Caenorhabditis elegans: one gene and its partners. The protein of the gene in region 3 interacts with the protein of the main gene of each other region in a pairwise test. Each region holds a gene or a part of one and is shown on either strand. Other genes may lie near its edges. The genes, in order: nova-1, aars-2, cye-1 and cki-2.

Evidence for each region.
Region 1: the proteins of cye-1 (region 3) and nova-1 interact in a two-hybrid assay, tested with the Caenorhabditis elegans proteins (one large-scale study listed by BioGRID).
Region 2: the proteins of cye-1 (region 3) and aars-2 interact in a two-hybrid assay, tested with the Caenorhabditis elegans proteins (one large-scale study listed by BioGRID).
Region 4: the proteins of cye-1 (region 3) and cki-2 interact in a two-hybrid assay, tested with the Caenorhabditis elegans proteins (one large-scale study listed by BioGRID).

Annotation. Positions count from the first base shown.
Region 1 is NC_003283.11:18,078,889-18,083,779, reverse strand, and holds the start of nova-1 (K Homology domain-containing protein), read left to right. Parts: upstream 1-1,873; 5' UTR 1,874-1,949; coding exon 1,950-1,956; intron 1,957-3,739; exon of another isoform or gene 3,740-3,824; intron 3,825-4,891. Other genes in the region: fbxa-106 (F-box domain-containing protein), read left to right, coding at 309-396, 446-1,088, 1,134-1,322.
Region 2 is NC_003279.8:3,981,525-3,987,101, forward strand, and holds aars-2 (Alanine--tRNA ligase, cytoplasmic), read left to right. Parts: upstream 1-1,658; 5' UTR 1,659-1,680; coding exon 1,681-1,824; intron 1,825-1,874; coding exon 1,875-2,063; intron 2,064-2,113; coding exon 2,114-3,284; intron 3,285-3,334; coding exon 3,335-4,010; intron 4,011-4,080; coding exon 4,081-4,633; intron 4,634-4,686; coding exon 4,687-4,860; 3' UTR 4,861-5,057; downstream 5,058-5,577. UniProt on the Caenorhabditis elegans protein: Catalyzes the attachment of alanine to tRNA(Ala) in a two-step reaction: alanine is first activated by ATP to form Ala-AMP and then transferred to the acceptor end of tRNA(Ala). Also edits incorrectly charged tRNA(Ala) via its editing domain.
Region 3 is NC_003279.8:6,778,869-6,784,916, forward strand, and holds cye-1 (G1/S-specific cyclin-E), read left to right. Parts: upstream 1-1,937; 5' UTR 1,938-1,952; coding exon 1,953-2,029; intron 2,030-2,118; coding exon 2,119-2,263; intron 2,264-2,934; exon of another isoform or gene 2,935-3,006; intron 3,007-3,122; coding exon 3,123-3,201; intron 3,202-3,244; coding exon 3,245-3,517; intron 3,518-3,651; coding exon 3,652-4,040; intron 4,041-4,299; coding exon 4,300-4,473; intron 4,474-4,514; coding exon 4,515-4,886; intron 4,887-4,946; coding exon 4,947-5,012; 3' UTR 5,013-5,528; downstream 5,529-6,048. Other genes in the region: pqn-21 (C2H2-type domain-containing protein), read right to left, coding at 1-143, 570-779, 900-1,038; acdh-5 (medium-chain acyl-CoA dehydrogenase), read left to right, coding at 6,040-6,048. UniProt on the Caenorhabditis elegans protein: Essential for the control of the cell cycle at the G1/S (start) transition. In association with cdk-2, regulates proliferation, quiescent state and cell fate during the development of several cell lineages.
Region 4 is NC_003280.10:7,814,956-7,820,797, forward strand, and holds cki-2 (Cyclin-dependent kinase inhibitor domain-containing protein), read left to right. Parts: upstream 1-1,544; 5' UTR 1,545-1,672; intron 1,673-1,734; exon of another isoform or gene 1,735-1,736; 5' UTR 1,737-1,752; coding exon 1,753-1,827; intron 1,828-1,869; coding exon 1,870-2,198; intron 2,199-2,241; coding exon 2,242-2,309; intron 2,310-2,942; coding exon 2,943-3,105; intron 3,106-3,162; coding exon 3,163-3,307; 3' UTR 3,308-3,361; intron 3,362-4,858; coding exon of another isoform or gene 4,859-4,917; 3' UTR 4,918-5,321; downstream 5,322-5,842. Other genes in the region: irld-47 (Receptor L-domain domain-containing protein), read right to left, coding at 5,378-5,520, 5,570-5,693, 5,775-5,842.

The DNA of each region.
Region 1 (4,891 bases), on a different chromosome or scaffold from region 3:
AGGAATACGGTAGGTTTATAAGTTATGTAAGTTTCTACAAATGTAACTACTTCAGTTTCTCTGTACCAAACTTTGAAGAATTTTTTATTACTTTAAAGATCACTGAAATAGTGAGCCGTTGTCTACGAGATCAAATATGTCCGAAAATTACCATTTGGTATCGGTCCTAACAAATCAGTATTTATACCAAAGTTGTTTCTTCGTCAATATTTTGAATTTAATTTAAAAACACATATATTATTCAATTTTCAATCTCACGTGAGAGAGTGTGAGAGAAAAAGAGGAATTTTGAAATAAATGAAATTGAGAGAGGCCGTGCTCCAAGGCTCCATCGATGTCGAATTTGCCATTGGACGTCATTCATAAAATTGTGGAAAAGGTTGAACCAATCGAACGGTATAATCAGAACTAGTTTTTGGAGGATTAATTAAATTGAAAATTTCAGGCTTTCTGTCCGTAAAGTCTGCCGCAACTTTCGTGCAATCGTCGATAATAAGGATCCTGGAATCAAGCGCGTTGTACTTAACATCCATCACTCTCAATTCCAGATGTGGCTGCTTGACGCAAAATCTACTGTAATTCACTATGATTTCAGTCATTCGCATTGCACAGTAAACTACAATGATCGGAATGAGCGCTTTAAAGGAGTGAACGGCTTGAAAATGGCTGAGACAGACTTGTCAGTGGTGATGAAGAACTCGAAACTTCAATTGGAAGTCCTTGAATTCCAAGGATATGATCGTATTCAAAAGAAGGAAACATTTATGAATTGGTTCAAAGAAATGTCCGATTCAAAAAACCTCTACAAGGTAAAAAGAATCGACTTTTCCATTAATCTTCCAACTTTTGCCGCAACAATTTTTCCGCTTCTTCAACCAGGATTTCTAGAAGAAATTTGCATTTACTGCAGCGGGAATCCAGATTACGTCGATCAATTATTTGAAATGGAGCAATGGAAAAGAGCCAAGTCGATTTTTATTGATTCATATGGAGAGAAGCATTTCCCAATTGAAAATCTCTTCCATCTTACCCACTTCTTCATTGATACGGCGTATCTTTCTGTCGCTGATGCTGTTAAAATCAGAGATGTTAGTTTTTTAATGTTCCTTCAAAAAAATTGTCATTTTTTCCAGATTCTCTTGAAATCGACTGTTTTTGAGTCTGGAATCATCACTTCTAGAAATATCTTCAGCGTTGGAGTTGTGCGAGTTTTCAATCCAAATTTCATTGCTAGAAGACCTTTTCGCGTTGACTATGACAATGGCTCTCACTTCAGCCTCTTATACGATCATATTTCTATCAAAATCGAAAAGAAGAAATAAATTAAACTGTTGTTCACTCGTGTGGTTCTCATTAAAATAAACTGTTTTGTTGAAATCTGTTTTTTTTCTTGTTAAATTACAATTTTGAGACATTTTTGTATTAAATTGCAAACCTTGTTGAAAAGTGGAGATTTTCCCGAAAATTTGCTGGAAATTGTGAGAAAAACTATAAGTGAAAAATTGAAATTTATTAGATTTTTTAACTAATTTGCATGGAAATGCATGGATAACCGGTGCAAATTATACAAAACCTCAAGTATTCACGATTTTCTTTTTTTGAGAAAATGATTTTTTGTTTCAATATAGATGAAAAATTGAATTTCAACCCGGAATATTGAGAGTTTCGACGATTTTCTCTCAAGTTTCACGATTTCTAACCAATTTTTGACTCTAAAATTCAGGAAATTTCATTAAAAATCAATAATTTTGAAAACATTTTAAATTAACTTCAATTTAAAAACCGGACTACGGTACACAACTCCGCAAACACCGCACGGCGTGTTCTGTCTACCGTAGTACGGCGCAATAAAAAAAAATAAATTTTTTTCCAATTTTCGAACTTTTCACCCAATTTTCGGCGCTTTTTTGCTGATTTTCGACGAAAAACTGAAGGAATTAACAAGCGCAATGGAAGGTTCGTGCTTTTTCAACTTGAAAAAGGTAAAATTCGAAAAAAAAAATACCTCTTAGGATTCAATTTTTCCATTAATTCCGCAATTTTTCCATCCTAAATTGATATTTCTCACAGAATTGTTTGATTTGTCTTATTTTCCGGCAAAATAATGTTTGAATTCGATAAAAATCGGAAAAATTCGGCTGAAAATGGTGGAATTTACGCCAAAATCCAGATTTTTCGACTTTTCAGCAAGTTTTTGGGTAAAACTACGCCGTTTTGACGAAAATTGCAAGAAAATTGACTTAAAATTTGACTGTATAATTTATGAGTTAAAATTTAAATTCTACTGGTTTTCCGGTAAAATTGCAGTTTTTATTGTTACAAAAGTTCTAAAAAACTGAATTTTGCCTTAAAAAACCCGTTTTTCTGGAATTTTTTGCTGAAAAAATTGAAAAATTGCTTTAAATCTCGTTTTTAAATCAATTTTTCTGTCAAAATCTAACGAAATCTCTCAAATTTTCGATTGGTCTGCTAGCGTTTTTTGTAGTTTGTAGTCTAGCAGATTAAATTTCTGAGATTGGGTCTGCCAGACTACAAATTACAAAATGTATTTAGCAGACCCATCACTTTTTCGACTAAATTTTGCGTTTTCAGGTGAAATTAAGCAGATTTAAAGGAAAAAACTCAGTTTTTCACAGAAAACCGACAAAAAATATGAATTTTTCGTATTTTCAGAGTTTTTTCGGCGAAAATTGTGATTTTATGCATAATTCTCTGTGAAAATTGATTTTTTAAGTCAATTTTCGTGAATTTTCACATTAAAATGTCGAGAAAATGCACATTTTGAGATATTTCCCGCAAAAAAATCAGGAAAAAATGCTCAAAATTGGCGATTTTTACCAAGTTTTATGGTCTGCCAGACTACAAACTACACAAAATGTATTTAGCAGACCCAAAAAAAAACATTTTTCGCGAATTTTTTTGATTTTTTTCTTGCATTTTTGATCAATTAGCATTAAAATTCACTAATTTTCCTCCCCAATTCCAGAAAAACCGGTTTTTCTGGAATTTTTTGCTGAAAAAATTAAAAAATTACTTTAAATCTCGTTTTTAAATCAATTTTTCTGTCAAAATCTAACGAAATCTCTCAAATTTTCGATTGGTCTGCTAGCGTTTTTTGTAGTTTGTAGTCTAGCAGACCCGAGTGGGTCTGCTAGACTACAAACTACAAAACGTATTTGGCAGACCCATAGTTTTTTCGACTAAATGTTGCGTTTTCATGTGAAAATACGCAGATTTAGACGGAAAAAACTCGGTTTCCCATAGAAAAATATGAATTTTTCGTTTTCTTAGACGGTTTTTTGGCGAAAATTGTGATTTTACTCATATTTCTCTGTAAAAATCGATTTTTGAGTCAATTTTCGTGAATTTTCATATTCAAATTGCGAGAAAATTCAAAATTTGAATTTTTCCAGCGAAAAAATCAGGAAAACTGCCCAAAATCACAGCGAAATTGACGATTTTTACCTAGTTTTATGGTCTGCCAGACTACAAACTACACAAAATGTATTTAGCAGACCCAAAAAAAAAATTTTCGCGAATTTTTTTTATTTTTTCTTGTATTTTTGACCAATTAGCATTAAAATTCACTAATTTTCCTCCCCAATTCCAGAAAAGCCGGTTTTTCTGGAATTTTTTGAAAAAAATTTGAAAAATTGCTTTAAACCTCGTTTTTAAATCATTTTCCTCTCAAAATCTGACGAAAATCTCTCAATTTTTCGATTGGTATGCTAGCGTTTTTTGTAGTTTGTAGTCTAGCAGACCAAATTTCTGAGAGTAGGTCTGCTAGACTACAAACTACAAAATGTATTTAGCAGACCCATATTTTTTTCGACGAAATTTTGCGTTTTAGGTGAATATAAGCAGATTTAGACGGAAAAAACTCGGTTTCCCATAGAAAAATATGCATTTTTTTTAAACGGTTTTTTGGCGAAAAATTGTGATTTTATGCGTAATTCTGTGTGAAAATTGATTTTTTAAGGCAATAATCGTTAATTTTTCCTGAAAAATTCCGCGAAAATGCAAGATTTGAATTTTTTTCCCGCGAAAAAATCAGAAATCTGCTCAAAATAACAGCAAAATTGACGATTTTTACCAAGTTTTATGGTCTGCCAGACTACAAACTACAAAAATTGTATTTAGCAGACCCAAAATCCATTTTTTTTTCGCGAATTTTTGGATTTTTTCATGCATTTTTTATTAATCAGCATTAAAATTCGCTAATTTTCTCCCACATTTAGGAAAAAATCGATTTTTTTTTGCCAAATTGCCCCGCTCTCGCCGTTCTTTTTGGCCATCTGCTCTCCGAATAACACTTGGCATGCTGCCAAGTGTCCCACCAACAAATCCCATCGATTTTCGATGTTGGCGAGGGACAAAAAGTGACGACGATTAGAGAGCATTGAGAGCTGAGAGAGACGAGAGAAAACATGGAACCTCTCGTTGTCTGCCGTCTCTTCATCTCATCATTGTGTCCGTCAACTGACTCATTTCTTCGTATTTACGCGCTCTTTTTTCGAAGGAGGACGCGTTCCGTTTTTTTTTTTGGTTTCGTACAAATTTTTGGTTTTTTACGCGATTTTCTCGAAATTGCGTGTGAAAATTTGCAAAAAATTCGATTTTTCGTTTCAAAATCGAGCTTTCCTTCTAAATTATCAAATATAATCGTAAAATCGGTTTTTCTCTACGATTTTTCTTCAAAAGCTGAATTTTTTGCTGAAAAGTGGGTTGAAAATCACGAAAATTGCAAATTTTAACGCTGATCAATAAAAAATGCAAGAAAAATGGATTCTGGGTCTGCTAAATACATTTTGTGTAGTATGTAGTCTGGCAGACCATAAAACTTGGTAAAAATCGCCAGTTTTGCTGTAATTTTGAGCAGTTTTCCTGATGA
Region 2 (5,577 bases), 2.8 Mb from region 3:
GGGAAAAAACGTTCCATCTGCAAAGAAGGCTTAGAAAATTTAGAATTTGATTTCAATTTTGAGTACGCCAGTCGGAGCACGCGCTTCAGCGCGTGCGAACGGCTGGTATATATATATATAAGTTATTGGTAAATTGTAAATAAGTTTGTAAATGGTTTAAAATAAACCTCACAATATTTTGTACTTCTTCTTAATTGATTCTTCGTTTCTAAAATTACTTGAATAACCCAATAAGAAGTAGCTTTGTCTTCAGTATAAAGATCAATTTTTTTGGCGATGGATCACTTGTAAATAGTAGCTGAAGTCTATATTTCTTGCTCTCTACATTCAAACCATGCATATGAAAAGAATCTGTTCTCGTGAACGTATGTTCTATAGAAGGCACCTCCAGGATTCGCTTTCGAACGACCGATGCAGATTTTTTCGAACAAAGAGATAAAATGAAAACGTCTGGTTCATTCATTTCCTTGAGCAATTGTGAATGAACCACACTTGGTAGAGAGAATAATTTGACGGACATTCTAGAAAAAATTCTGTAATGTTGCGTACTTGGTTTAAAGTTATGCTATACAACTAAATTAATATCCAGTTGAGAAAATGAAGAAAGTTTAAATAAATGTAAAATTAAAAAAAAATACAACGATTTTCAATCAAAGATTAGAGTGAGTCTTTCGGAGAAAAAGAGCAACTCAATGACCAGCTTGAATTTATCGATCTGACAAGACAAGAGATTTTATTTCTGAAGAGCGACAGTGATATTCCATTTTCCTTCGGTTCTTCGTATTATTTTCTCATTTTTCGCTTACTATTAGTATTATATCGATTAATCAATTATTTTAATTGTTTTCGAAAAACGAGCCCGTAAATCGACACCACAGTAGTCATTTACATAATTACTGTAGTTTTCGCTACGAGATATTTTGCTCGCAAAATGCTGCTCAATACGCATTCTCAGAATTTTGTGTTCCTGTACTAAAAATCTATTCCACGTAATTCTAAAACTAAAGGTTCACAGATATATCAGTTTTTCAGATTTAACACTTTTTTCGGGTTTTTTTGTAATTTCCCAATTTTCTTAAAATTATCATGTTCGGCACTATCTTATTATCTATCCAGTTGTTTTTTTTTCAAATGAAAATCAATTTATTGCTCCACAGAAAAACATATTGAATGCGGTGTTGACAAGTTTTACCGAGTGAGAGACTACACAAATTTTAGAGATGGAAAAGAGAACAATGTGTGCTGGGTCTTTTATGAATCGAATCGTTTACAAATGGATTTGCGTTCATTCCTATTTCATTTTGATGATAAAAATGAAAGAAATTGACCAAATTTTCTACCGCAAAAAATTAAATTTTGAAAATGAAGTTTTCCCGCGGTTTTCATAGAAAGTGTGCGGCGCTTGCGTTTGGACTCCGCCCACCTCACTGAAATGTTTCCCGCACTCATTCTTCATTTTATTCGCTATTCTTGTCTTTTTCCGCGCTTCCGCTTTCTTCCGCGCACTGTTTCGATTTTTCTTTGTTCAGCTTCCTCGTTCTCGCACCCAATTCGCACCGAATCGAATTCGATTCATTGCGAAATCTCTCGTAATCTCGCCTCCCCTATTTTTCGTCGTTTATAAGTTAGCAAAAACAATTTTAAAGTTTTTTCTTTCAGAGCAACCTCTCCTGGGTTACTATGAAGCACCTGACTGCCTCAGAGGTCCGCTCTACCTTCATCAACTTTTTCCGAGAGAAGAAGGAGCACACTTATGTACATTCGTCGTCTGTTATTCCGCACGATGACCCAACTCTTCTTTTCGCCAACGCGGGAATGAACCAAGTAAGAATATTCAAACGGCTTTTCTTGCAATTAATAATTAAAATTTTCAGTTCAAGCCGTTGTTCCTCGGAATCGCCGATCCAAACAGCGACCTTGCCAAGCTGAAAAGAGCCGTGAACACGCAGAAGTGCATTCGCGCCGGTGGAAAGCATAACGACTTGGACGATGTCGGCAAAGATGTCTACCATCACACATACTTCGAGATGCTTGGAAATTGGTCTTTCGGTGATTATTTCAAGGTTAGAAATTGATTTAGTTAATTAAATTTCTTTAAAAAAATAATTTTCAGAAAGAAATCATCACATGGGCTTGGGAACTTCTCACAACAGTATACGGAATCCCAGCGGAACGTCTTTATGTGTCGGTTTTTGGTGGCGACGAGGCAAACGGAGTCCCCGCCGACTCTGAAGCTCGTGATATCTGGAGATCCGTCGGAGTGCCAGACGAGCGCATTTTGAACTTCGGTATGAAGGATAACTTCTGGGAGATGGGAGATGTTGGACCATGTGGACCATGCTCTGAGATTCACTATGATCGCATTGGAAATCGTGACGCATCTCATCTTGTCAACGCCGATGATCCAATGGTTGTTGAAATCTGGAATCTTGTCTTCATTCAATTCAATCGCGAGGAAGGAGGCGTCCTGAAACCATTGCCAGCGAAGCACATCGATTGTGGTCTTGGACTCGAACGATTGATTGCTGTGATGCAGGATAAGACGAGCAACTACGATACGGACATTTTCCAACCAATTTTCGAGGCGATTCACAAAGGAAGTGGCGTTCGTGCCTATACTGGCTTCATTGGTGACGAAGACAAAGACGGAGTGGACATGGCATATCGTGTAGTTGCTGATCACGTCAGAACATTGACCATTGCTCTCTCTGATGGTGGCCGTCCGGATAATTCTGGAAGAGGATATGTGCTCCGTCGAATTCTTCGTCGTGGAGTTCGTTATGCCAGCGAAAAGTTGAATGCACAGCCTGGATTCTTCGCATCACTCGTTCCAGTGGTTATTTCAATTCTCGGAGAGACTTTCCCAGAACTCAGCCGTGATCCAGTGACCGTCATGGATATCATCAACGACGAGGAGAAGCAATTCCTGAAAACGTTGTCTCGTGGACGTGTTCTCTTCCAACGCGCTGTTCAATCGCTTCCAGAAGGAACCATGACGTTCCCTGGAGATGTTTCATGGAGACTCTACGATACATATGGATTCCCAGCTGACTTGACTCAACTGATGGCCGAAGAGAAAGGATTGTCTGTCGATAATACTGCTTTCGAGGAGGCTCGCAGGAAAGCCATCGAGACATCATCAGCTGGAACTGGAAAGTTCCGTGACACGCTGGATTTGGATGTTCACGCATTGGCTGAGCTTCAACAGAAGGGAGTTCCAACTACCGACGATTCGCCAAAGTACGCTTACACGTTTACTGGAGAAGGATCCGATGCTGTGTACAGTATGTTTTTTGTTTGTTTTTATGAACTTGTAATAATTATTTTTCTTCAGAGTTTGAGCCATGCGTTGGAAAGATTCTTGCTATTCGCCGAGACGGAAAGTTTGTCGATCAACTTGCTGCCGGAGAAGAAGGAGCCATTCTTCTCGATCGGACAAATTTCTACGCCGAGCAGGGAGGTCAGATCTACGACGTCGGAGTTTTGACAAAAGTCAATGACGAGTCGAACGAGTTCAACGTGAGCAACTGCCAAGTTCGTGGTGGATACATCGTGCTTGTTGGATCCGCCGAAGGAAGCTTCTCAGTCGGTGATCAGGTCAACGAACGATTCGATGAAGACCGGAAGCAACTGATCATGAAGAATCACACCGGAACTCATGTCCTCAACTATGCTCTTCGCAAAGTTCTCGCCGATTCGGATCAGAAGGGATCACTCGTTGCTCCAGATCGTATGAGATTCGACTTCACCAACAAAGCTGGAATGACTGTTCAGCAAGTGAAGAAAGCCGAGGAATACGCTCAACAGCTGATTGACACAAAAGGACAAGTTTACGCCAAGAACTCGCCACTTGGAGAAGCCAAAAAAGTCAAGGGACTTCGTGCGATGTTTGATGAAACATACCCAGATCCAGTTCGTGTTGTCGCTGTCGGAACTCCAGTTGAGCAACTTCTCCAGAATCCTGATGCAGAGGAGGGACAGAACACGACTGTCGAGTTCTGCGGAGGAACGTGAGTACTAATTCTTTTTATATTTTATGATGATACCCGTTAAATTTTGATATAATTTTTATAATTTCAGCCATCTCCAGAACGTGTCTCACATTGGCCGCATTGTCATCGCATCGGAAGAAGCTATTGCTAAAGGAATCCGTCGTATCGTTGCATTGACAGGACCAGAAGCTGAAAGAGCCATTGCCAGAGCCGATCGACTGACTGCTCGATTAGAAGAAGAATCGAAGCATGCCGATAAGAAGGATGAGCTCTTGGCCAACAAGGATAAGTTCAAGGCTCTCCAGAAGAAGATTCAAGAAATTGTCGATGAAGCCAACGGAGCTCAGCTGCCATACTGGCGAAAGGATTCTATCCGTGAAAAGGCAAAGGCCATTCAGAAGACTTTGGATGGATACACAAAGGCACAACAAGCCGCTGTCGCTGAAAAGGTTCTTGGAGAAGCCAAGGAACTTGCTGCTGTCGCTGAGCAGCCTACTGTTCTCGTTCACGTCTTCGCCGCCAATGCTAACAGCAAAGCCATCGATAATGCTCTGAAACTTCTCAAGGACACAAAAGCAGTTATGGCTTTCTCTGTGAATGAAGATTCTGGAAAAGTTTTGTGTCTTGCTAAAGTTGATAAGGTGAGAAATTTGAAATTTTGAAACAATTCAGAAAAATAATATAATTTTTTCAGAGCTTGGTGAGCAACGGCCTGAAAGCCAACGAGTGGGTGAATGAAGTTTGCACAGTTCTCGGTGGAAAAGGTGGTGGAAAGGACGCAAATGCTCAGCTCACCGGAGAGAATGTCGATAAACTTGATGCTGCCGTCGAACTCGCCCAGAAATTTGCCCTTGCTGCAATCAATTAATTTCCCCAATTTTCAATCTATTTCCTGTTTTTCATATCGCTTCCTTTCCTCTATTTATTGTTGTCTGTTGCATTCTAGTTCATTGCTCTCCCTCCCCGTCATTATATTTATTTCGTATTTCTATTTTATGTTTCAATTTGTTTGCTGGTTTGTCGAGGTTTCAAAATGTTTATGCAGTAAATAGAGGCCAAACTTTTTCCCATTTCACGAAAACAACAATTTTGAGTGGGTTGGACGCGACAGCTGGACAGCTGCTCAACTCGCGGATCAACAACACCTCGATCGATTTCAAAAAAAAAAGTACCTTCGACTTGTCAGCCAACAAGTTTCGAAAGATTCTGGAGATTTCTGAAAGTGACGTGGCATTACACTTCAGACATCTCTAATTTGTGGCACAGCTATCTGAACATTACAATGGACAAAAATGTGAAGAACAACAAAAGAAACGGAACGGCAATGAATTCCAGATGGCGATGAATGTGTTTTACGGAGGAAAAGAGCAGATTTTTGCAATTTTGCAGATTAGAAAAATGATTTGAGAACAAATTCCAGACATATGCTTAAGAGATAAGTTTCTTGATTCCCGGTCGTGTACTGCTCTGGGACAATCAATTGATAAAAATATTAATATATCTATCCAATATATTCAATTATATATCCAAAAAGATATATCCAATTGAATTCGGGCGATTTTTCGTGTTTTATCATGAATTCTCT
Region 3 (6,048 bases):
TTTGGAAGGTGTTGGACTTTTTGATGTTGTCATATCGGATGAAACAGGCGATTGAGCATGTTTCTCATCTGACATCTCTTCAACTTTTAAATCTTGTTCATCGATTAACTTCGGAGAGAATGATGATGTTGACTCAACGACAGCTGGAAAAATAAACCGTGTTTTTTCTTCAATAAATATTTTTTATCAAGTTTTTATGAGTATATTTACTTTTCTTGGACTCTCTGTTAAAATTTCGAACATTCTTCTTATATTGCGCTCATAATTTTTTTTTAAATGTTAATGAAGAGAGCTATTTGCAGTAGACTATCTAAGCAATTTAATTGTTAATTTTTAATTTTTAGTGCCTTCGCTTATCTATTTTGTTTTTAATAGCCTGAATTTCCATTTCCCTAGAGGATCTCTCGAAAGTTTTGAAATTATTTGAGCAGCTACGGTAGATGCGACTTTCGTGCATTTACGCGTGGCGGTGTTCACACTGATCCCAAAAATTTTTGTTTGAAATAAATTGCTTTTTTTTCGCAATCTTTCATTCTTATTCATTGCTTTTCCGTTTACCATTTTCATACCATTTTCATCTGTTTTTTCCACTTTTAAAAATTCTTCTCGCATTTTATCAGTAGGCTCGGATATTTGTTCGTCTTTGACAAGATCTTCTGGTTTTTCATCAATTTCTAGTTGTATTTCTTCATCAATTTCCATTGGTTCAATATCATCATTCTCATCATCCTCATCTAACTCGCCGTCTTCTTTTCCAGAAGTTTCCGCTTGATCGTGAGCTAAATGCAATAATTTTCAAGATTTACGAGAAATATTTTTTTTTTCTTAAAAAAAATTTCAAACGAAATTTCAAAAAATTATTTAGAAGTTTTTGTTAATCATTGAAACAAATAACGTACCGTCATAAGTTGTTTGAAATTCGGGGGTTTCCTGCAACGGTGGAGGAAGAGGTGGGGGCGCTGAAATCGATGGTTTGTCTTCCGAATCGGACGGACTTTCATCGATCTGTAGACGACCCTCGTCCTCATCGTCTGACATGTTGCTGAAAATTTGAAAATTAAAATTTTACAAAAGATTTAATTAAAGCAATAATCAAATTTTTAAAATACAATTTGAAATGAGAGAAATTTTAAAAATAATAGATATAGTTTTGAAGGTTTTGATACTTGAAAAACGTTATCCTTATTTGGTAGCTTATGAAAACAAAACAAAAACAACTGCAAGATGTGTTTCGGATGTTTTTTCTTCATTCTCTCAATTGTCTGACATCTCCGGAGGCAGTTGCTGTGCCCTCTATTGGTACGTGTCGATTGCCTGCGTCTCTGTGTCAAGAGGCACCCTCTCATCTCTCTGGAGACGGCAGAGAAACATGAGATCGTGGTAAGACCATCAGGGAGGACGGCGGCAAATCGGAGGGAACGCGCGAAATGAGCGCGCGATTTGAATCTAGAGACCATATGACGGAGGTTGTCTGTAGTTGACCTTTTTCGGTTTTATCTGAACTTTCACAGATTGATTGCGTAATGTCCACTAGACATTCGTTATGGTATAATTGATATTTCTTTATTAATTTTCATTAAATATCAGATATCAATCTCTAAATTTCAAGCATAGAAAGTATCGTGCAAACATGAACAGTTTCATGAGCTCAGTTTATATTTTAAATTCACACCTAATTCAAATCTTAAATAATTTTTAATGGAATAACTGCAAATCTAAATCTAAAACCAAAACGACCTTCATTCACTTGTACCAAATCTTATCTGATTTTATGAATTTAAAATCTTATTCTTCTTCACCTCTGACTGATAGTTTATGTTCTCCCTATTGTGTACACTCAAAACTGCACAACATTTGTTATTTGAGCCAGTTTCAGTCGTTATCTTCCTATTTATTTGTTTTTGAATATTTTGAATAGCTCGACTTGATATTTTCAGGGAAATTTGATCAAAATGGCTGGAAGAAAGTCATCAAGGACGGCTGAACGTGTCCCCACTACACAAAAGCCAGAAAGAAAATCTGCTATTTTGTAAGTTGAATTTAGATGGATATTAGAGAACTGATAATTTTTAGACTTTATAAATATTTATTCATCTTTCGAAAAATTTTAATTTTCAGATCTCCACATGACGAACTGCGTGAACGTCTTCTGGAGACTGCAATTGATATGAAGGAAAATATTCCACAACGAAATACCCGAAATTCGAGCGTTGGAAGTCAGAAATCAGATTGTTCTGAGACAAGAAAACGACGAAGTACTAAGGTTTGTGTGCTTATCAGTGAACATTTTAAGATGGAACAAGGGAAATGAAATAGAGAGTGATAAGAAAAGTACTTTTTTAAATTATAATATTACTACTTGTACAAATGCCTAAAGAGATTTTTGCTTCTAATTTTTCGAAAACCGTAAGAAAAACTGTCAAACGATTGCGGATTGTTACTAAGCTGAATGGGGGTAAGGAATACATTTTAATTTGCCAACAAAATTAGCAAATATTTCTAGATTTAAACACATTTTGCTATATTTTCAGTTTTGAATTTAACTTATTTAGGTAACAGCATTCATCCAGAAACACAATGTCTAACAAATTAATTGAATTTCGTGGGTAACTAACTAACAGTCAAACGCTCAATATTGAGTAGTCTGGGTTCTACAGGAAACATCTCTCGTTAAATAATTTGCAAACAAAGTTTGCACTGAGAAACAGACACTTTGTATTTGACCAGTGTAATAGTGCGCCAAAATGTACTCATTCTCCCGTTTTCTTTTTTCTTCTCTCATCTCATGTTCACACCAGCACCTCAGATTTGCGAGAAAATAAGACGCAGACATCGATAGTCATAGTGACCAGTCTCTTTCGTATGCAGAACACAGTTTTGTGTCCGCTTTGTATGTCCAATACTTGTTTGCCGTCTGAGTCTCACTGTTCATCTGGGGGTATAGCTCAGTGGCAGAGCATTCGACTGCAGATCGAGAGGTCCCTGGTTCAACTCCGGGTGCCCCCTAAATACTTTTTGCATTTTGGCTTCTGCTTAGAATCATGACGATCAAATAAGTTTCCTAAATTTGAACAAAATTATATAGTGGTTCAATCTTGTTTGATAATTTATTAATTTTACAGGAAGGTCCAGCTGCAAAACGTCATTCGGGCGAGAAGCATCGAAATGGTAGCCGCGAAGATTCTTTGGAGTATATTAGTGGTAATCTAGTTTTATTAGAGTAAAAATGATATTCTGTTTGAAGAATATTCAGATGATCGTGAAGTTGGATCTTCATCATCACAATCATCAAGAACCCGTGGACAACCACTTCCAGCTATGCCTGAGGAAGAAGAAGTGTTTGATAAATCATCTTCATCTGATAATCTTGCCGAATCTGAAGAAAGTCATGAGATGGTCCGATTGGAAGAGAGACAGGATATTGAAGAAGAAATTGAGGATGATTTTGATGATGAAGAGGAGGATGTTGTTAACGATAAAGAGGAGTACGAAGAAATTGAATCTGAAGATGAAGATGGTTAGTTTCAAAAATACTCATGATGCGTTTGAAATTATTAGCATTTTAGATCAAAATTTGATAAAAAATAGTGTCTCCAAAGAGAGTATCAGTGTTTCAAGCTGAAAAACCTACCCAATTTTGATACAATTTAGATTATCCTGTCCAAAACGAAGGATTTGCCGTTACAAAACGGCTCATGAACGACGAACATATGGTTACGGCTCCAACGTTTCTCAGCACAGCAAAATGCGATGGAATAGGATCACCAACAAAAGTTTGGTCTCTTATGGTCAAACGAGACGAAATTCCACGTGCTACACGATTCTTGCTTGGAAATCATCCGGATATGGATGATGAAAAGCGACGTATTTTAATTGATTGGATGATGGAAGTGTGTGAATCAGAAAAATTGCACCGAGAAACATTTCATTTGGCTGTTGATTATGTTGATAGATATTTAGAGTCATCAAATGTTGAATGTTCAACGGATAATTTTCAATTGGTCGGGACGGCTGCTCTATTTATAGCTGCTAAATACGAGGTAACAATCAGGGGTTTCACTGACACATTTTTCGTTTTTTTTTTTTAGCAAAACCGAAAAAAATTCTAAAACACTTCAAAATCGATAGTTCTCAAACGGAATTAAATATTTATATTACGATTTACACCCTTTTTCAAAAATCCAAAAAAACCGGCAAGCCTGGTAATAATTTTAATAAAATATTTCACCGATCTAGAATTTGGGTTCAATTAATTTTTTCACAGTATAGATTCACATTAATTTTTGTTTTTTTTTTCAGGAAATTTATCCACCTAAGTGCATCGATTTTGCTCATCTCACCGATAGTGCATTCACCTGTGATAATATTCGAACTATGGAAGTTCTTATCGTCAAGTATATTGGGTGGAGTCTTGGGCCAATCACAAGTATTCAATGGCTCTCAACATATCTTCAATTACTCGGAACCGGCAAAGTAGGATTTTAAATTTTTTGTTGATTAAAATATTTTTTCAGAAGAACAAGTCTGATCACTACGAAGAGCAAAACATGTACGTGCCAGAATTACTCCGTTCAGAATATCTTGAAATGTGTAAAATTCTCGATTTTCTGCTATTTGAGATCGACTCATTTACTTTCTCCTATCGTACCATCGCTGCTGCTGTTCTTTTTGTCAACTATGAGCCAACTTGTGCTGTTGAGAAGGCTACCGGATTTATGCAGGCTCAACTTGAAAAAGTTATTGAATATGTTGAACCGGTGTGCCGGGCGTTCGCCAAACAACGACAACTTCTTGACGATGTTATTCCAAAACATGAATCAATAAAATCGGATGATTCACACAATATTCAAGTATACGTTAAAAGGAGTTCAATGGAACCTATTGTGGTAGGTGGATATATAAAATTCATGAATTAGAGGTTGTTTTCATAATTTTTATTTTTCCAGAAAAGCGAACGAGAGAGGATTCAGCATTTAAAAGCTCGCCGTCTTCATCCGCAACGACTTTTCTAAAATAACCCGCAATAGGATTCTTTTATCATCGAAATTTCTGTAGATTACTTACTTCAAATAATCATGCACACAGGTTGTCCCCGTTAATTCTTTCCTTCAATCTCTTTCTCTCTTTCACCTAGTCTGTGCCATTTCAATATGATTGCACCCCGGAAAATATCAAAAACTTCACTTAACAAGTGATCCCATATTACAAAAATATTCAAATTCCGAAAATCGAAAGATGCATTTCCGTTTTATTTTACCGAATTTTGATGTTTTTGTAATGTGTTTAAACCCCTTTTACAATTAACTTATTAATGTTTTGTTTTACTCATCTCACTTCCCCTTCTTACTTTGTGCTTATTTTATGTTTTAGGTTTTTTTATTGTATCATAAAACTGGAAATTTTGAAATAGGCTTCTTTCTCCCTAAACTTTTTTAACAGGTACTGTAACTGGTACATATCCTCTGCCCCACCCCGCTCCCAACTCGTCTTTGTCTGTTTGTTTATACGAAATACAATTTTTAACGAGTATGCGGGTTTCTGTTAGCTTCAACAATACGATCATTCAAATTTTAAAATTAAGAAACTATAAAAGCACAGTATTTACGTGAGTTGAAACAAAATGCCTTCTCCAAATTTCTTAACACTGAAAAATTTTCGGAAAAAAAGCAGAAATTACTCCGCAAAAAATTAAGGACATCATTCCAATATTTTTTTTTACTTATTTGATGAAAAATTAATATATTCCAATAAATTAAAATGAATTATCATCTCAGGAATACTGTAGAATTACTTTAAGATTTTGGCTTATTTATATTAAGTGGTACGGTAGGGGTACTGTAGGTGTATTGCAGAGTTGTAGACACTGTAAATGAAATTCCAAAGAGCATAAAATTTATCAAAAAAAAGTTTGCGTGAATTTCTAATTAATGTTTAATCTTCTTTTTTTGTTAAAATTTGTTCAGGGTTTCTTATCAAAAAATGAATCATTATTTAGTTTCTTGGCTAAAACACTACTCATCTTCGTAGTTTCTTGCCGTGATGTTTCAA
Region 4 (5,842 bases), on a different chromosome or scaffold from region 3:
TAGAACCTGTCATACTTCTCCAAGTATATGAAAGACAATTAAAACTACTGAGAGAAAGAAGTAGTTCGCGATAAAAAAGTACATATAATACACCTTTTCACCTAGAAGAGATGCTTTCAACTTCTACTTTTCTGGTCATATGTAAATAGTTGGGTTTTTTGACAGTTTGACAGGTTTACGGCAGTCAAGACGACAAAAATGGTTATCAAAAGGAGCTGGCATACAGCCAATACCACCAGTTCTGATCTTTTTACGATTATCAAATTGTACATGGGGGGTTAAGTTGAATTTTAGTTTCATTTTTTCAAAAGTTTAAACTCGAAAAATAACTGAATTGAAATATAGTGAAGTTGGCAATATACCAAGGGTAGAAAATCAGACGAGTGATTTTATTTCTAGACAATCTTAAATTGCTCAAATTGTGGTCTTTTCTATATTTGAACTTTTAAATGCAGCAATTTGTGAAACATACAATTGAAACAAATTTCCTCAAAAACTGCCACCAGCTGAGGTATCATGAAGCCTTCTGTTCACACATGTTGCCACCTAATCGGTCACTTATCCTAATTAACATTCTTCCACTAAATTGTCCCCTAGTCACCCCCACTTGAACGATATACACACCAACTGTTCTCGTTCACTAATACACTTCTTCCGGAGGGATTCAACTGGTTATATTCTGCAGTTGTCGGCAGGTGTGTGGTAGACGGTGACGTAATATTGCACAGGGTGTCGGGGAATGATTATGAAGTCGAGATGCGCAACAGCTGGTAATTGAAGCCACGAGAGAAAATGGAAAAGACTATGATGAGGGCACAAGGATAGAAAAATTGACTGGGAGTGACCAAACAGGCGAGGTCACAATGAAATTGGTGAAAATGGAAACCCTAAAAGTAACTTTAGATTTTAGAAAATAGTTGGACGATTTTTCGTTTTCAAAGTTCAAAGCATGCATTATTATCATCTGAAGATGCACGATTTGACTTGTGTGACTGATATCTCGTCGCGATCTTACCGTAACCTACAGTACTTCCATATTAACTAAAGTTGGTTCGCTTCGAGACATCGGGAACGTGAGTTATGTATTTGGCATTATTCGTCATTTTATATTCTAGAAAGATTTACATTCTGTCAAGTTGGAATATTTTTTCTTAGCCGTGCAATAGAACTTTTGTTGAATTTCTCAGAGTACAATTTTTATGACCGCCGATTTCCTCTCGATAAGCATTACGTTATTTACCTATGGTTTTCAACTATTTAATGAGATTTATCAGGACCTCCCGTAGTTTTATCTTCTATTTTTACTCAAATTTTGAGCTCAAAAATAACAGGAAAGATTTAATCGAAAAAAACATATTTCTGAAATCCAAGAGCAATCGCGCGCTATTGATAATCTGGTTTGCCGCATTTCTCGCGGCAACAACAAAGAGTTTGAATCGAAACGCCTTTTTATTTGAAAAAAAACCTTTTTTGTTTTAAAATTTAGTCTATACGTGAATCTAACACACACAAACTGTTCACTAATTTCTCTTTGTTCGTCTTTTTACCATTTCATTTCGAAACTCGCTGTCGTCTCGTTTCTCTCACCACTCTTCACACTTTTGCCGCCTAATCGATCGATCTTGCCGCGGCGCACTCACATTTTTCTCTTATTTTCTTACCGGCAAAAAATGTACGTTTTACCGCACTTTTCGCTTACATTACTATTTCAAATTCTCTTATCAAAATTATTTCAGAAACGAAGTAACACAAATGGCGGCAACAACAGCCGGCGACGGGAAGCGAAAGGCGGCTAGATGTCTCTTCGGAAAACCCGATCCAGAAGAGGTAAATAATTATTTTAAATCTGATATTCATAGTTAAAGTTAGCAGGTTTCTCGACAGCTCAACAGCAGTCTGGAAGAAATGTATAAAAAGGATTCTCGCAAGTTTAATTTCGATTTTTCTGGCGGAGTTCCAATCGTTGGATCACGAGGAGACTATGAATTCGAGTCGATTTCTGCTTCCGAAGTTCCAAGCTTTTACCGAGAGAAGATTGTTCGGCCGCGAAAAATCATTGCCAGACGGAATTCAACACCGGTTTCTGACACTGTTGAGATGCCTTCAGAATCTCCTCCTGTCGTGGAATCGAACGAGACTCCACTTTTGATTGCTTCTACGTCTACTGAAGTAACCGTATACGAGAAGCCTGTGACCAGGTAAATCAGAAATTCAGTACTTTGAAAATAATTATTTTAATAGATCGTCTGCTGCTAAACAATCAATCGAACAACAGGAGACGTACAACTTGAAGCAGACAAAATTGACAAGTTTGTTTTTATCGAATTTAACGCTGGCACCACTTTCAAAACAATTTCAAATCGTCGTCATTTGTTTATTCCTAAAAAACCATCCGGACTTTTTCGCCGGAACGGCCGACGTCTATTCCTCTCAAATATCACAGTTCTCTCATATGTTCATGCGATATGGTTGACCTTTCAACGGCTCATCGATCACTTTTCTTCCGTGATGAGTTATGTCAAGTTATGCATACCGTCGTGAAACTCGAGAAAAGAACAGCTGGCCTTGGGAAAAAGAAAAAAGAATTTAAAATTGACTAACTGGTGGCTGACGTAATTGAGGGAGCAGATGGAACCTCAAATTGCATGTGTTCGGGAAGAATTACTGGCTAAATTTGTTGTGCACTTCGCGTAGAGGGTAGCATGAAAATTTGAAATTATTTTAAGTATCCCTTGGTGCATGCATGACAATCGAGATTCTTATCTATTACCTTTGACTACGAAGGTCCATATTGCGTTAAGACTTGCGTAAATCGGCTCAATTCAATTTCCTCTTTACACCAGACCGCCCGAACATCTGATTAGATTATTCGTTTATTTAGAGGACGAGAGCTAACTGAACCATTAAAAAATTGCAAGGGTACTAATTAAAATAAATTTTAGATTACATGCCAGTTCGAAAGCGCCGTAGTGAGACGTGCCTGGTCACCGCTGCCGTTTCGATGAGTCGTTCAGTTTCAATCGACTCGAGCATGGAATCTTGCAAGGAAAAACGTGGAAGTAAGATTGTCCACAACAACAAGGGAGCTCCGAAACGGCCACTTAGGTTTGATATAAATTTTAATTAATGAATGAATTTTTGAAACGAATTTTTTCGTTTCAGATTTGTTGCATCAAATGTGCCAAAGTCCGCACAGTCGTCTACCTCGGATACTGTTCTAGTTAGTTCGCCTCGTTCGCCACCAGCCAAGAAGATGACTACCTCGACTCGTCGTTCTCGTCGCCCCATTGAAGCCGGGGACTTTTGAATTTGAGAAGCTCGTCATTCAATTGCTAGTCATCATGCTCTTCAACTTCTTGAGGTATTCATTTAATTCGTTCAAACATATGGGTTCAATTCAAATCAATCACTATGAATTAGGTCAAACGATTTCGTGTAAAGCGGAGTACATGAAACATGATGCGGCAAATGGTCTTTGAAATGAGGTGTCGTGAAAATATATTCATTCATTTATCTGCCACTCATCGCAGCTGTACTGATTGCCGGTGTGATGGTTTTTGTAGTAGTCGGAGACATTACAAATAACCACCCGTCTGGATGTATTGACATGACATGAAATTCAAAGTGGCGATTATGTTTAAAAATACAAAGAATTGAAAAATTATTGAGAGCATTCGACCTTCGCTCTTGTTTTCAGTTTAAATCTGGTCTTAGTTCTATACACTTTCACATCCAGCCAGGAACAAAAAGTAGTCGTTCAAATCATTGAGATTTATGACACATTTTGCGACACTGTTTGATGGGCAAAAAACCAGTTTCTCTGCACCAATCACACCATTCGCCACGGCCATTATCCTCCATTTTCTCTTTTTTCTTCTCGATATTCGTTGGTGAATTTTCTTGAAAAGGGGGATTTTTTCGGTTTCACAGCTTATGTGTGTGAAAGTAGAAGTGTCCAGTTGAAAGAAATCGCCGCCATTGTGAGAGAAAATAGTTTAGTGGAAGTGAAAAGCAGTGAACGAACAGATGCATCCATTGGCACTTCGGTACCTTTTGATGTTTTTCCGAAAATTGAAGTGCGGAAAGGTAGAAGGTGAACGAATATTCCGTTACAATTAAACCCAATAACTGAACGTATTGGTATTTTCTAACTTTATATACTCACTGTGTTGCTGTTGGCTAATCTAACATTTTGTATGGATTTCCAAAATAACCCTAATGTCAGATGTGAATCTAGAAGAATAAATAGGCATTTTATTTGTCCACGGCATGTCGGCTTCTCCTAATAGAAACATAGTACAATTTACAAAGACAATAAGGAGGTTTTATGGGTAACAAAGGAACAAAAATGAAAAGCGGCTATTAATTGAGAATGTGTTTCAAATTATAAGGCGACTTGCATATATTATTGGAACTTCTGCATAGAAAAAAGAACAACCAATTTTCCTCTGTTAGAACATGTTTGTAATATTCTGAGAAAAGTTATCATTATAATTTTGTTCAAAATTAAGTAAATGTGATTTGAACGACGGCCCATTGCGCAAGCTTAGATTCGTTTTGCTCGATAAGACGTTCATTAAAGATAACGAATGATGAGTATGAGACAATTGAGTGACGCAATCACGGGACAAGGTCGACTATTTATGTGTGGGGGTTCATAGCATTTGAATTTTACTGTGTGGAATAATTGTATGTATGTACGTACAGTTGACTTGTTATGTATGTATGTACAGTTGACTTGTTGTAAAAAACTGCTTTTACCTCCGCCCCCGATTGAAAACTCAACGGTGAGTGACGTCAGCAATATATACATTGAATTTATTTGCCAAAATTAATACATTGAAATTTCTATTTTCAGTCTGCCAATTCATCTTCTACAGTACCACACAATCAATCTCAATCAGCTGTTCGTCATAATTGCATTCAAAGTGGAACTTTCACCGTCTACTTTTTTATATTCATAATATAAATTGAGTTTGAAAAATTGCATATTTTATTTTTTTTTTAGAGAATTTCTCTATATATTGTTTCCTTGTTTCGTATACCCCATCCCCCGTTTATCTGTGAATTTGAAATTCCCATACCCTGTCCATTTCTGTGTTCTACTCCTGTAAAAAAAGTCCCACCATATCCCCGTTTCAATTTTTCAAAAACTGAATTATTTTAGATAGTTTCTGTTTTTTTCCCTAATTGGCCCCTTCATGCCACTCAAATCATAGACATTCTAGTTATAAATACCCATCCCATTCCGTTATATCCTACCTCCCCAGTTACTCTTGTTAAATGTTACGTTTTTGGTTATATGAAATCTAGTGTTTCCTTATAAGATATATGGTTTTCAGATTATTTTTAAGAGCCATACATGTGCAATAGAAAGTTACAACGGTTTTCCAAAAACGGACCTGAAAACAAGAAACTGGCGATATTTTATTGGGAGATTTAGCACAAGTTTTATTATTTCGATAAAACACATGCCAAAAATAAAACGAGACATAAAACAAGAAACTGATGAGGAATTTGCTGAATTATGAATAAGAAAGTTATACGCCTAAATTCAAGAGAAACCTACCATAATAATCTCCTATAAATACAACGTTCGTAGCATATGTAACTTGAAATGGAAAACGTTTTGGCTTGAGTAGTAATGGATTATTGTGTACAACCACAGTACGATTTGATTTTGATATTATGTTCTGGAATTAAGAGTGAAACTTTGCAGTAATGAACTTGGTCCTGTTTAGCTAGTAATATTCAAAAAAAAGTTTTTAACTAACCGATAATCGAGGAATATTGGCTTTTTCCAGATCCATGTTTGATACAATTTGAATAACATATTCATCTT